Tribolium castaneum: one gene and its partner. The protein of the gene in region 2 interacts with the protein of the main gene of each other region in a pairwise test. Links are inferred from orthologs where the notes say so. Each region holds a gene or a part of one and is shown on either strand. Other genes may lie near its edges.

Region 1 (3,519 bases), about 3.8 Mb from region 2:
GATAGAAATATATACCTTATTCACATAATACAAAATTGGCTCGGTTTGACGTTCAGTGTCCCAACTCTCCCAATAAAGGAACTCTAGGAACATCTACAAATTGTGTTTTTTTTTGCTGAATTTAATTTTTTTATCCAAAAAACTGTTAAACTTTGATATTAAATTTAAAAATAATTGTGTGTAAAACATAAGAGCATTAAAAAATAATCAAAATTGAGGAAGTTAACAAAAAAAGTTTGTGGTTTCAGATTTTTTTAAATTTTTTCAAGATTTTTCCCATAATGTACACATGTTTCTCAATAACGTACTATTGAGTTGGTGCGCCAGTTTTTGAGCACCCTGTAGAAATACATTTTTTATTTTTTCGTGCATTTTTAAAATAAAATTTTATTTTCTTTTATGGATGAAGATCAATTTCTTGATACTGTAAAAATTAGAAGTACATATATTTTTTTTAATTTTCAGGTGCCGGAGAACTTGTCGCTGTCGCAGCCCAAACTGAACACCATCGTAAACTTGGACTCGAAAGAGAGTCCCATCATGAGGCTGAAACAACCCCCAATGGGCACCTACTCCTTGCACAGCACACCCAGCAACTCTCCCTTGCTCAGCCAGCGGCATCCCGTGCCGATCATCGGTGGTCCCAAAGACCTCATCCACAAGGACATAATGCACAAGGCGTTAAACGTCCCTCCGACGCCAAGTCCCGACTCTGCCATCCATTCAGCGTACAGTGTGTTCAGTTCGCCAAATCAGAGCCCTTTGACGCAAAGACATATCACCTTAACGCCGAATTTGAGTCGGAACAATAGTGATGCCTCCCATTCGAGCTGTTGTAGTTATTCGAGTGTTTCGGTTTCGGTCTCGCCCACTCAACAGTTCTCACCTACTCACAGTCCTATTCAGGTCAGTGTTTTTGAAAATTATTTATCATTTTGTACAATGTGTGATTTAATTGTCGGGGACACAACTCGGTCAATCGCTGGAATGTCGTTCGCTAATTTATTGTTCGGCCCACGTTGGCTGGGATAATGTAATGTTTTAAGGTGCGATTTTACATTGCAGAAATCTTATCGATTTGATATTCACTTGAAAGTGGCTAATTAGTGCCTACGGATAAGATTGAATTATTTATTATTGGGTACCTACGTGTACGGATTTTAACTAGCGAATGGAATGATTCAATCGTGTAATTATTCGAATTGGAGTGAAGTTGAGACAAAAGTTCACGAATTAAATACTGTGTTTTGTCCGGAATGCGATTTACTATTAATTAGAATTAAAGAAAGTCATTTGGTTCAAATGCCTATTAAAAGGACAAGGCAACTACTTATCAGCGTTATGCTTGATTAATTAACCTTTACAAATTTTTATTTTTCTTAAATCAATTTTTGTATATGTACATGGTGAGTTTGCTAAACGTATTTTTCACTAAACTTTTATACCATTCCTTATAATTAAAATTAATTCAATACAAATATGAAAATATTAATTGATTCTTGCTTTGTTGTCTGTATGTCTGTTTCATATTTTCCAAGCCAAATTTGAAAGGGTTTCCGTTGTCTCAATAAATTGAAATTTTACATACTTACGTAATCTGCGTGACAATGCAATCCTATGTGGTTAAATACCCTCTAAAGGGGTTAAATGGGGTTTTGCAGTTTTAGGTTATGTTTACAAATGGGTTTTCGATGTGTACATACTGTAACTTATACCAACATTAACGGTATATTGGTCATTGGAAAATATATTAATACCTAATCATTTTCATTACGTTTCGTTACAAACAAATGTCGCTATTTTTTTAAGCTCATTTATCTTGTACGATAGAATATAGACACATAACAGAGGTTAGGATGTGCTTTCAGTGCTAATAGCTCTTTTCTATCACTTACTAACAAGTTTGCACAAATCAGCAAAATAATAGTGTTACAATTACGGCGAAACTAAATCTCAGAGAAAAATATGTTTAGAATAATAAGTAAAAACTAAAAAGCAATAAATAAAAGAATTAAAAAAGTTTTTTTAGAAAAAAGCTTTTATTTAAAAGATGTACTAAAAAGTAAAAAATAATGTTTTTTTTTTAATTTATAAAAGCTTTTGGTCCTAACAATATACAGCATTACAGAATTACTTTTTTAAATTGAGCACTGTTCCAAAAGTTTTTGTAAATTTTAAAATCCTAATTTGTAAGCAAAAATATTCTCTGATAGAAAAACATTATTTCTTTTTTAAATAAAAGCTTTTTCTAAAAAAAACATTTTTTTATTTTTTTTATTCTAAAACAAGGATGCTTAAATGATGTTTTCGTGCAACAAATTTGTAATAAAATTTGTAACCATCAGAATCACTTTGAGTTCTAGAAATAATGCAACCTGATCCCAAAATTTTCAAAATAATTTGTTGTATGTTAAGTTTTTTTCAAAATACACGATTCGGTTTTTGGTGTTTAGTGTATTTTGCGCCAAAATAGTTTTTTTTTGTTATGAATTTAAAATGGGAAAGGATAATCATTTAAACTGAAGTTATATCATGGGGTTTTAAAATTTACATAAATTGCCTCCTAGGTTATCACAAAATTCTGACGTACTAAAACTGTTGAAAAAAATTTTAACAGTGTTTTTCTAGTTTCTGGTAGTTTAAAAAATGTAAATCGGTTAGTAAATTGATTAGTAATAGTATTTATTTTTTCTCTTCGTAAATTTTGCTGTCCCGTCCGTTACTGCAAACATACAGGCTGATTCTTTTAAGGCCTACATTAAAAAAATAACTTCTATAATATAGCTAGAACTTTAAGGACCGGTTTATAGAAGCGTCATGAATTTAATTCGCAATTAAATGTGTGATTAACGGATCAGGTGACGAAATTAAGCCAATTTGATTGGTGTATTTGCGTTGTTAACTTTTAACAACGAATTAAAATTTGTTGAAGCTTTATACAGGATGCTCAAAAACTGGCGCACCAACTCAGTGGTACGTTATTGAGAAGCAAGTGCAGATTACGGGAAAAATGTTGAAAAAATTCCTAAAGTTATATTTTAAAAAATCTGGAGCTACAAACTTATTGTGTTAACTTCTTTAGTTTTCATAATTTTTTTATATTTCTATGTTTCATACCAGGTAATCGTTCCGTAGCAAAACGATGAATAATTATTTTAAATTTTACTAACAGATTTTAGCAGTTTTTTTAATTTAAAAAAATTAAAATTCATCCAAAAAATCACAATGTGTAGATGTGCCAACACTGGGAATTATTTCCTAGGAAACCGTTTCAAAAATAATTTATTTTTATTGTTGCTCAAATTCTATTGCGATCATGACTGTTAGACAACGTTGCCACATATCATTTACATAAAATTAGTTATTTATCAATAACTTTAATACAAAGAATTTTTTTACTATTTTTACCTTTATATGTAACCACTTTTCTACCACACACCATTGAGTTGGTGCGCCAGTTTTTGAGCACGCTGTATAAACCGGACCTAAGATTTTGTATACAATCTAAATCGACTATTC
Region 2 (4,151 bases):
TTAATTTTAATTTAATAATCCACTAATAAATCTGAGACACTGATTTAAATAATTATATTAGCAAATCATCAATAAGATTTTTCTGATTTTTGCAGAAAACAAAGCTTTTCAAAAAGGCCTTCGACTGCAAAGAATAGGAAAACACCAACTGACATATTAATATTTTTTTTGTTTTCTCATATTTTTTTATTTTGTCTTATTTTTGGTGAATCTTCTTTCAGATTTTTCTGATTCCTGCAGAAAAGCTTATCAAAAGAGTTTTCAATTGTAAAAATAATAAATTTTCAAAAAACACTTGTTAGGGCTTACAAACATTTTTTGGTTCCCAAAATATTTTGTAAGTAAAGAAAGAAAAAAGAACTTGAACTGCAAGAATAATTAATATAGTAATGTGACACTTCTTGGGGCTTACGTAATTTTTTTAATATTTTCTTAAATATTTTATCATTAGGTCGTTTTTAGACGAAGTATTTTTAGCGAATTATACGACCAAGTTTTCTGATTTTTGCAAAAAGCAAAGCTAATCGAAAGTGCTTACGAACCTCAACCTCTTAGGAATTTACTAAATGTTTTGTTTTTCTAAAGAAATTTTGTCATTTGCTCGTTTTTAGAAATATTATTTTTTGTAAAAAACAATAGAAAGAGCTCTAGTTAGAAAAAAAAAATTAAACCGACAATTAGTTTTTTGGATTTCAATACTTTTTTTGGTAGATATTCTCAAAATATATGTTTTGTCACTGCTTCGTTTTTACATGAATCCGTACAATTTTTATGATTTTTGTTGAAAAGAGCCTTAATTGCAAAAAATAATAAACCCAGAATAACATCTTAAAATTTAATAACTGTTTTTGTTTTTTTTTAGACATTTTGTTATTTACTCTATTTCAGCTGAGTTATTTTTTATTTTCGAACTTTTTGGTTCTCAAAATATTTTATAAGTAAAGTAAAAAAAAAGAACTTGGACTGCAAGAATAATTAATATAGTAATGTGACACTTCTTGGGGCTTACGTAATTTTTTTGATTTTTTCTCAAATAGAAAACAATAGAAAGGGCTTTAGTGAGAAAAAAATATTAAACCGTCAATCACTTTTTTGGATTTCAATAATTTTTTTGGTAGATATTCTCAAAATATATATTTTTTCACAGCTTCATTTTTACATGAATCCGTACAATTTTTATGATTTTTGTTGAAAACAGCCTTAATTGCAAAAAATAATGAACCCAGAATAACTTCTTGAAACTTTAATAACTATTTTTGTTTTTTTTTAAACATTTTGTTATGTACTCTTTACTATTTTTTGTTTTCGAATTAAAATTTTCGTGATTTTTCCAGAAAAAACACTTATGTGTTAATTAAATTTCATAATACCTACAGAGTGTTAGGAAATAGCTTAGAAATACTTCGCATGAATTTGTCATAATTAGGTCATATTATTTTTCCAAAAAGTGCGTACCTTCTTCTGAAATTTGTATTAACCCAGCTGTTGAGAACCACTGTGTGGCTTATGGTAGTTTATTAGCAGTTCATTTGTGTAGGAGGTTCGAATCCCGGTCTTGGCAGAGAAAAAAAATGTTTTTTTTTGTAAGATTTAATAAGAATAATGTAATGGACCAAGAAGTTAATTTACCTCTGCTGTTTTGACGATAATATTAAAATTTTCCCTAATTTTTATAATTCTAGTTCAGAGGTTCTCAAAATTTGGGACTTTAATTCTTGAACAATTTTTTGGGAAAACTATGCATTTTTGATTTACATAAATTTTGCTCAATCGATTTGCTTGTTTCTCGTATCAAAGAGACATTCATTATTAATTTATTTCCAAATTTTCCAAAAACCATTAACTCAAACATAACTGATTATTCAAAAAAAAATAAACCATACCTAATTTTTGCCTTCTTGTATTCGTGATTGTTTGAACTTCACAGAAAAATTAAAAGAATGTAGTACGTGACATATATTGAAATTTAACGTTTATATGAAATACTTCCTAATCTACATACTCAACTAATTAAGTAATTAATCTTAAAAATGTTTCTGGTGACGATAAGAAAGTAAGTCTTTCGTAATTTTTGTGTGGCTTGTATTAAACGAGGGTTAGCCACAGTTTGGCTTGTGTCCGATTGCCACATCACTCCCAACAAAGCTTCTTAGTACCCATCAAAAGTCCCAATAAAATCCCGGAATAAAATTTAAATAGCTAATTCACACGCACCAAGATCCATTGTTCCAGCTAAATCCAATCGTCTAATATTCAGGTGCCTCAAGTTGGACCATCGAGGACGTGAGCGGAAACTTCATTTGTGGCTGCATCTACTTTAGGAACGCATTTATTTAAAGCTTGTAAATCTGAAACAAGAGTACAACCATTGACAATCCTGCTGAACCCAACAATGACTCAACTGTAATTCGCTCTTTTACTTGATAATAGAGATATCCAAATAAAAGCCTCCATTATCTAATTATACCTCGCGTCTAACTGCCTCTAACGACTGTCAACAAGCCGAAAACGACCCAGAATGACCAGTGCCAAAGCTAATTTTAGCCCGAAAAGACACTCCATTGAAGCGATTTCATGAATCAAATTCCAGAAATCGGAGCCGATTTTTTACCACGTGCTAGTTGCTATTTTCAGGCTTGTGACTAAGTCGTGCTATTTGTTTATTCGCTACAAATCGACGCGATTTATCAAAATATTTGACACCTACCACGAAAAGCTCAGCACTTGACACTCGCGCACTGCTCGGACTTAAGTCGACACGAGACTGAAGCTTGCTGAAGCAAGGCAACTTTTCAGGAGTAGGGGACCAAGTTGTGACAGCAGCTGAAACAGGGGCTTCAGGAGGGGGCACGAGCCCTTGCTGATGGCTTTATTTCGCGTGATTTATGGATTTGGACGCTGGGATCAAGGGGTTTGATCCAGGGGAGGCTGGAGGTGGAGATGGTATTTTTAGATCGGAGGTTATTGCTGTATTTATTTTGTTTTGATGTTCGGCTCGGATTTATTACGGTTAATATAGCTACTATTAGCAGTGAAAACATTGTAAAATTACACGAAGCAAAGATCGAAAATGGAAGAGAGTTTGATAATGTTTTTCACATTTTGGAAACTGTTCGAAGAGTAATTAAGGTTTTTCGCAAATATTTACTGTAAGTAAAGTAACTAACGTCCAATATTTATTATTTGTTAGAGTTTAGTATAGATTCTGACTTGCTGCTTTCACCAAATAAGGCTGTAAAATATTCAGATAGAAGTAATTTCTTAATATAAAAACAAAAATATTTTCAGTTTGAAGAGAATTTATCAAATACTAACATATTTTTTTCGGAATTGAAATTGCTAAATATTATTTTGTGTTTTTCGAACATTTTAGTTTATTTTTAGATTGTTTTTAAGCATTTAAGCACATTTTTAAGTTAAATAAATTTACTAATTTGAATTCATATAATAAAATAATTGCCACTTTTACGTTTCATTGAAACTTTTTATTCAAAAATCGTTGCATTTTGTCGGAAATTACCTTATTTTGGCGTTTTGATTCAAAAAATTGAGTTATTTTAATAAAATTTTATATTTTTTGAGCAGTTTTTGCAGTGTTCGAGTGTTTAAGCACATTTTTAATGCACTATGCTTTTATTTAAGTTTTGCTTTAAAATTAAGTTAACATTTTCGAAATATTTTATTACATTAAGTGAGGCAAAAGTAAGCAATTTTTGCGAAGTTTTTCCAAAATAAAACCAAAATTTACGATTTGCTTCAAAAAATTTAGAATTGTTCCAAATTTTGAAAACCGCTAAACTAGAATTACAAAAATTAGCGTAAATTTTAATATATTGACAAAACAGCAGAGGTGAATTAACTTCTTGATTCATTACGTTATTCTTCTATTTCAATTTGTGTTTTGTTATTAAATTTTACGAAAAAAAAAAGCAAAAACTTTTTTGGCAAGACCGGGATTCGAACCTCCCACTCAAATGATCATGTTAGCCACAATTTTGAAAAAGTTTACTGAAACTTTTTTTTTAAGAAATCGCCAAATTTTGTCGAAAATTACCCTATTTTAGCATTTTTTAAGCGTTTATTTCCGTTTTTTATTTAAAAATTGAGTTATTGTGTAAAATTTAACAAATGTTGAGCGACTTTGCAGTTTT

The links. The genes of interacting proteins can lie anywhere in the genome.
Region 1: the proteins of stumps (region 2) and Hr39 interact in a two-hybrid assay, tested with the Drosophila melanogaster proteins (2 studies listed by BioGRID). The link is inferred for Tribolium castaneum from reciprocal best matches to the Drosophila melanogaster genes stumps and Hr39.

The regions. Positions count from the first base shown.
Region 1 is NC_087400.1:8,820,151-8,823,669, forward strand, and holds part of Hr39 (nuclear hormone receptor FTZ-F1 beta), read left to right. Parts: intron 1-465; coding exon 466-906; intron 907-3,519.
Region 2 is NC_087400.1:4,990,501-4,994,651, forward strand, and holds the start of stumps (phosphoinositide 3-kinase adapter protein 1), read right to left. Parts: upstream 2,819-4,151; 5' UTR 2,708-2,818; intron 2,349-2,707; 5' UTR 2,225-2,348; coding exon 2,215-2,224; intron 1-2,214.